Linked DNA regions of Xenopus tropicalis. Each later gene encodes a partner of the first gene's protein in a complex. Links are inferred from orthologs where the notes say so. Each region holds a gene or a part of one and is shown in the gene's direction. Other genes may lie near its edges. The genes, in order: ppfia1 and ppfibp1.

Region 1 (3,815 bases):
TACAGAACAGGAAGAGGTTTGGAAACCACTGTTCTGGATGGGAGTCCTTTAAATGCGTCAAACTGATTTTTGCCAAAATGTGTCTGTTTTCAGCTGATGATTTCAAGAGAGCAGAATAATCAGAAGAAAATATTCAATGACGGTACAGCCGATGTCAACCACGAGCAAGAGAACGCACTTAACGCTAACGGGAAGGTGAGATGGTTCAAACACGGCTGCTGGCAATGTTGGCATATGTAATGGTGCTTGTAAGTCCAGTTGTAGCTTTGGTATTGGTTTATGTCTCCAGTAAATATAGATATGGACAGTTTGGACCTGGATAACCTAATCCATCTCCCCTAAATATAACATTTTTGGATTAAAATGGATTACCGCTATTTATTATTTTTTTTTTTTTTATGACAGAGATCATCAGATTGCTCTATAAATCATAATGAGGACCTATCTAAAGTGATGGAGCTCCAGGATATCATAGAGAAACAAACCAAGGAGCAAGTTCAAATGAAGGAGCGCCTGGCTGTTCTTTCCAACCGGGTAACAGAGCTAGAAGAAGACCTCGATACTGCAAGGAAGGACCTCATCAAATCCGAAGAAATGAACTCAAAACTTCAACGGGACGTACGAGAGGTGAGAGGGAAAGTCAGTACAATTATTAAGAAAGAAACACTGCTTCTCCCTGTACTAGTTATACCCATCCCATTAGTTTAGAGAGCTCTGGGTCACTGGGGAGCTGCCCAGGGACATAGCAATGTATAGAATACTCAGAGGGGCTAGGGGTGCCACTGCATAAGGCCCTCACCTTTGGGGTGTTCTGGGTCCACATAGGGTTGCTGTGATCTTTGGTACGGAGGATGGCAAGCACAGGTTTGGGAGGCGGCGGCCCTAGTATAAATTTTGCACCCAGGCCTAATTTTGAGAGCAAACATTATCTCTGTTGGTTTGCTTTAAGATTTGATGTAGTGGGTAAAGCACTTTAAAAAAAAAAAATCCCTTTACATCTCTTCCTTAAAGGTGAAGGAAAGTAATTTTGGCATTTTACTGCCAATAGATTTGCCACATTAGTGCCACCTAGAACAATATATTTATGCTGCAGAAACCATTACCATACCTGAGTAAACGGCTTTAGAAGCTTTCTCCGTTTGCTTAAGATAGCAGATGCTAGATTCGGAAACAGCTCCGAATGGATGCTCGAATTATTGGGTTAAATTAGAGAAATACAGCTGGGAGGTGCTGGTAGGTTAATGTATGACAGCAGTGAGCTGCCTTTCTAATGAACTTAGTATGGTGTAGGCAGTAGCACAATTTTTATTTGGTTCTAAAACATTCAGGCTTCTAATTTTAAATGTTTGTTGCTAGGGCTTAATGGCCCTAGTTGCCATGGAGCACTTTGCAAGTAAGAACTGAAGATTTAAAGGCACATTGTTTACCCCTTTTTTGATTGCCAGGTAATACCAGAGTGCATGTTCAGTAGCAGAATGTAAAAAGGCTAGGAAGGTTAATACAAGTATGGGACTATTACCTAGAAACTCTACACAGCTCTGATATTCTCTTTGTATTTGTGAAACCCCAGGTTCCGAGTATAGCCCATACCTGCGCATGTGAAAACATACTTTTACTATATTAATTAATTTCATGTTAAGATAAACTCTACCTTTTTTTCCATGTTCCAGGTGCCTGGTTTATTTCATTATTTTGACCATTTGTAATCTAGCAGTATTGATACACAAACCTTTCCCCCCTGTATGAATTACTTACCAGCTGTAATGTTTTTTTCAGGCCATGGCCCAGAAGGATGACATGGAAGAGAGAATCACCACTCTTGAAAAACGCTACCTCGCCGCACAGCGTGAAGCCACCTCTGTGCACGACCTCAACGATAAACTTGAAAATGAAATCGCTAATAAGGAGTCTGCTCTGAGACAGGTAATGCTGCAGGCCAAGGCTGCTAACTGCTTGGGTCTGTTCATTTGGAAGGATTTGTTGCAAAACTAGTGTTTTCACTGAATTGCTTAGAATTTTATTTTCTTTCACTATGCAAAAGAGAAGGGGTGGAGATCATTTTTTAAAGGCCCAGTGTACCCCTTCTTCAACATGAGTTTAAAAAAAATCAAGTTTTTGTTTGCCCTGATCAGTTCAAGAAATAAAAGGAAAATTGAAGCTACTCCATGTTTGGTCTTGGTGCTCAGTCAGCACATAATGGACTCCTGCTATGAGGGTGAAGACACACAGAGAGAGCCTCTTAGTAGCAGCTACTTGTCATGGCTACTAAAACAGTCAGTGCTGATCATTTACTGATAATTGTCTCTGTGTGTTTTACCAGAAGCAGTTCTTAGTATTGTCTATGGCAGGGTCTTTTCTGGCGTGAAGTAGCTGCTCTAAGTAGCTCCGTGTCTTCAACCTTATTGTGAGTCTTGTTAGCAGGCGTCCATTATGTGCTCATTGAGCACCAAGATCAAACATGGAGTAGCATGGAGTAGGGCGAAGACATTAGGGATGCACCGAATCCAGGATTCGGTTTGGGATTTGGCCTTTTTCCGCAGGATTCCAAGCTCCTGGCCAAACCGAATCCGAATCCTAAAGATCACATAACTTTTTGTCACATAAACACAGAAGTTGCCAATTTTCAAAATCCCAAAAAAGTGCATTTGGTGCGTCCCTAGAAGATACATTAGTCACCACAGCTACGATTTAGCCGCCATAGACTAATGTACAAGTCGCCGCGACTAATTGCTATTTGTGGCACATCAATTAGTTGCTGCAAATTTTTTTTTTTTTTAAACGGTTTTAAAAAGTTGTGGTGACTAATCACCCCCTTGTGTCTTCGCCTTAGAAGGGAAGGGTAATCTAATTATCTACTTCTCAAGGACCACACATGGTGTAACTTCGGTGTCCCTGTTTGCCCTGTTTAGGTCAAGAAATAACAAAAAACATTTTTTTTTGTAATGAAAATTGGTAAAATGTAAAAGCATTTACTATACAATTTTATGCTATTTGTTTTACTTATGTTGAACAATGGGGTATACTGCCCCTTTTAAATTACCTTTTCCTGTTGGAAAAGAGAAGTGTCCCTAACAACCTCACTTTTTGTGCCCCAACTCAGAGTGAAGAGAAGAACCGGCAAATCCAGGAGCGGCTTGAGCTGGCGGAGCAGAAGCTGCAGCAGACTCTGAGGAAAGCAGAAACACTGCCCGAGGTAGAAGCAGAACTGGCACAGCGAGTGGCTGCTCTTTCAAAGGTAAATAGAGCGATCACATGCCAGGGCTGGGGTGGCTGCGCTACCTGCCAGCACGGCCTCCTTTCTGCCTGGTACGTAGTGACTTTTGTTTACTGCCCAGGTCTGAATATACTGTTTGTGGGTAATACACACGGGGCCTACGAGCATTTAGCACAATAATGAATGGGGGGTATTCCAAGCTTTTTGTTGCCCCTGCCAAGCTCGAAAAAGCTTAAGTGTCAGCTCCGACTCACCCCTTGTGCCAATATCCTTATTGTACGGCCTTTTTGTTCCCTATTCTCCTGTCTGAGCCATTGCTTTTTCTATTTTCTTTTGTCCTTTGCCTTTTAGCTCCTTTACCCCTTTTTCCCTTGACTTTCTTGTGTTTTGCTCCTATTTAGCTTTTCTGTACTCTCTTTCTTAATAATGTTTTCTGGGGCCGCCATCGGGGGTAGAGAGTGGGGTTACTGTTGCACCAGCCACAGTGTATCTTCTTTCAAATGGGGCCCGGCTGTGTCATGAAAGTTACAAATAAAGTTTCATCAACACATGCAGTTTATGTACCTACCTTCTGCAAAAACTGCCTGGAAACTTGCATATC
Region 2 (3,815 bases), on another chromosome or scaffold:
CAATCTCCCCCCAGTACTTACCCAGGTACAGAGCTCTGATTCTCTGTACTTCCTGCTCCTGGGCTGCTCTCTTTCCCATGGTCAGGCAGGAACCCCCCCCCTGGGTAAGTGAATCCAATCTCCCCCCAGTACTTACCCAGGTACAGAGCTCTGATTCTCTGTACTTCCTGCTCCTGGGCTGCTCTCTTTCCCATGGTCAGGCAGGAACCCCCCCTGGGTAAGTGAATCCAATCTCCCCCCAGTACTTACCCAGGTACAGAGCTCTGATTCTCTGTACTTCCTGCTCCTGGGCTGCTCTCTTTCCCATGGTCAGGCAGGAACCCCCCCTGGGTAAGTGAATCCAATCTCCCCCCAGTACTTACCCAGGTACAGAGCTCTGATTCTCTGTACTTCCTGCTCCTGGGCTGCTCTCTTTCCCATGGTCAGGCAGGAACCCTCCCCCTGGTAAGTGAATCCAATCTCCCCCCAGTACTTACCCAGGTACAGAGCTCTGATTCTCTGTACTTCCTGCTCCTGGGCTGCTCTCTTTCCCATGGTCAGCAGGAACCCCCCCTGGGTAAGTGAATCCAATCTCCCCCCAGTACTTACCCAGGTACAGAGCTCTGATTCTCTGTACTTCCTGCTCCTGGGCTGCTCTCTTTCCCATGGTCAGGCAGGAACCCCCCCCTGGGTAAGTGAATCCAATCTCCCCCCAGTACTTACCCAGGTACAGAGCTCTGATTCTCTGTACTTCCTGCTCCTGGGCTGCTCTCTTTCCCATGGTCAGGCTGGTGTCCGTTGCTATAGACACAGAATCAGGGAGACTGCCTGGTGAGACGGGGCTGATCCGCGTGTCACCCCCACACTGTTATTATTGGGTATGTGGGCAGTAATGAATGCTCTCGGGGGGGGGGGGGGGGGTACGTCATTACTCAGACTCCTCCCCTACCCACAAACACCCTGTTGCCTCCCTGCAGATGTCGAGGTGCAGAAGATGAAGAAGGCAATGGAGTCGCTACAGGCTGCCAACGAGGAGAAGGTGCGTAGCGCGGCCCCCCCGGGGGGCAGTACCATTACCCTATAGTGCCCCCCGTCCCCTCCCTCAGCCAATGAGAATTCACCCCACTTCATAAACTCTCCCTCTAGTGTCCAAACTGTTGTTGGACTACAACTCCCAGCATCCTTCAGCAGCCAGTAGCCAGTTCTTTAATAGGTTTAAAACCCTCTGAATTTGCTCCTGGGTGGGAGGGGCCACATACAAAAGGGCACCCCCACTTATTGCCCCTTACCTGTCCCCCCACAGGAGCAGAAGATAGAGGAGCTCAGGCAGTCTCTGAACCGGTACAAGAAGGTGCAGGACATGGTGGTTATGGCGCAAGGTAAAAAAGGTAAATATTCCGTGGCCTTTGGTCAATTTCCCCTTTAATCCCAGCATTTTCTATGGAAACAAGATATTGGGGGTCTGTGGGCTCCAACGTTTGGGGGTTTTGCTTTCAGGCAAAGACGTGGAAAGTGACGACTCGGTGATATCCGGCTCCAATTCGCTGGTGTTCGATGGCATCGCGCTGAGTGACGCGGACAAGTCTCCCTCCCCTCTCCCCATATCGACCACCCCCAGCCCTGAGGAACTCCCCGCGGCTCAGGAGGTAAGTACCTGGGGGGGGGTTCCCCTTTGAATTAACTCTTAGTATGATGTAGAGAGTAATATTCTGAGACAATTTGCAATTGGTCTTCATTTTTTATTATTTGTAGTTTTTTAGTTATTTCATTTTCAGTTCAACAGCTCTGCAGTTTGGAGTTTCAGCAGCTATCTGGTTGCTAGGGTCCAAGTTACCTTAGCAACCAGGGAGTGGTTGGAATGAGAGACTGGTATATGAATAGGGGAGGGGCTGAATAGAAAGATAAGGAATAAAAAGTAACAATAACAATAAAACTGGAGCCTCACAGAGCAATAGGGTTTTGGTTGCTAGGATCCAAGTTACCTTAGTAACCAGGGAGTGGTTTGGATGAAAGACAGGAATATGGATAGGGGAGGGGCTGAATAGAAAGATAAGGAATAAAAAGTAACAATAACAATAAAACTGGAGCCTCACAGAGCAATATGTTTTTGGTTGCTAGGGTCCAAGTTACCTTAGTAACCAGGGAGTGGTTTGGATGAAAGACTGGAATATGGATAGGGGAGGGGCTGTATAGAAAGATAAGGAATAAAAAGTAACAATAAAACTGGAGCCTCACAGAGCAATAGGGTTTGGTTGCCGGGGTCAGTGACCCCCATTTGAAAGCTGCAAAGAGTCAGAAGTAGAAGGCAAAGCAATCCTATTGGATAAGAGGCTGAATGAGCCCCTGGTTCTGTTTCCAGCAGCCCAAGGTGGAGTTGCACACGAGTATCCTGCAGGTCTCCATCCCCTCCTTCTCCTCGCTCCGGCCCTTCCAGCGGCAGAATGAAGAGTCAGCTCCTTCGCCCAACATGGACGCCTCTCCCCTTGACGTTGGGTAAATGCCCCTCCCCGTGTCTGGGGTTTCCCTGCCCCTCGCCCCGTGATCTTCTTGCTTTTCTGATTCTGGGGGAACCATTGGGATTTTATGATGGTGCTGATCCACGGCAGGCAGGGGATGCTGGGAGTTGTAGTTTTGGGGATGCTTCAAACTAAGGATAAGGGATCCCCAGTAGAAGTGATGGGAGGGGGAGGTGCATAGCATTCAGGCAGGGGATGCTGGGAGTTGTAGTTTTGGGGGATGCTACAAACTAAGGATAAGGGATCCCCAGTAGAAGTGATGGGAGGGGGAGGGGCATAGCATTCAGGCAGGGGATGCTGGGAGTTGTAGTTTTGGGGATGCTTCAAACTAAGGATAAGGGATCCCCAGTAGAAGTGATGGGAGGGGGAGGTGCATAGCATTCAGGCAGGGGATGCTGGGAGTTGTAGTTTTGGGGATGCTTCAAACTAAGGATAAGGGATCCCCAGTAGAAGTGATGGGAGGGGGGGTGCATAGCATTCAGGCAGGGGATGCTGGGAGTTGTAGTTTTGGGGATGCTATAAACTAAGGATAAGGGATCCCCAGTAGAAGTGATGGGAGGGGGAGGGGCATAGCATTCAGGCAGGGGATGCTGGGAGTTGTAGTTTTGGGGATGCTCCAAACTAAGGATAAGGGATCCCCAGTAGAAGTGATGGGAGGGGGAGGGGCATAGCATTCAGGCAGGGGATGCTGGGAGTTGTAGTTTTGGGGATGCTATAAACTAAGGATAAGGGATCCCCAGTAGAAGTGATGGGAGGGGGAGGGGCATAGCATTCAGGCAGGGGATGCTGGGAGTTGTAGTTTTGGGGATGCTATAAACTAAGGATAAGGGATCCCCAGTAGAAGTGATGGGAGGGGGAGGGGCATAGCATTCAGGCAGGGGATGCTGGGAGTTGTAGTTGTGGGAGAGTCTGTCAATTAATCCAGAGACTCCTGGGACTTTTTAACCCTTCTCTGGCCAACATATCCACCTGCACAAGTCACTGAACTCTTTAGGGCCAGTGGGGGTTCCATACTTTACCACTAGGGGGCACTGTTCCCCCAAGGCAGTGAAAGAGCCCTAAAAACACAGTCATTTAATGTTGCCTTTAAAGTTCCTATCGGCCAATCGCTGAGGCCCCTGCATTCCCGAGAGCATTAATTCCACCTCTGTTTTGTTTTTCCCAGGGACGGCCAGGCCAGCAGCCCTTCCGCCGAAGCCACGCCCCCACAGACCCCGGGGTAAGTCTGCCAATGGGTATCGCCCAATAGTGCCCGACCAAAACAGCCCTTCCTCCATCTTTGCTGACAGTATGACCACCGGGGGGGGCATACATGACATT

Evidence for each region.
Region 2: ppfia1 (region 1) and ppfibp1 share a complex: the UniProt entries of both Homo sapiens proteins name them as parts of the cortical microtubule stabilization complex. The link is inferred for Xenopus tropicalis from reciprocal best matches to the Homo sapiens genes PPFIA1 and PPFIBP1.

The regions. Positions count from the first base shown.
Region 1 is NC_030680.2:14,517,893-14,521,707, forward strand, and holds part of ppfia1 (liprin-alpha-1), read left to right. Parts: intron 1-93; coding exon 94-195; intron 196-405; coding exon 406-627; intron 628-1,776; coding exon 1,777-1,923; intron 1,924-3,100; coding exon 3,101-3,235; intron 3,236-3,815. UniProt on the Homo sapiens protein: May regulate the disassembly of focal adhesions. May localize receptor-like tyrosine phosphatases type 2A at specific sites on the plasma membrane, possibly regulating their interaction with the extracellular environment and their association with substrates.
Region 2 is NC_030679.2:2,636,439-2,640,253, reverse strand, and holds part of ppfibp1 (liprin-beta-1), read left to right. Parts: intron 1-956; coding exon 957-1,018; intron 1,019-1,282; coding exon 1,283-1,367; intron 1,368-1,476; coding exon 1,477-1,625; intron 1,626-2,338; coding exon 2,339-2,472; intron 2,473-3,660; coding exon 3,661-3,714; intron 3,715-3,815. UniProt on the Homo sapiens protein: May regulate the disassembly of focal adhesions. Did not bind receptor-like tyrosine phosphatases type 2A.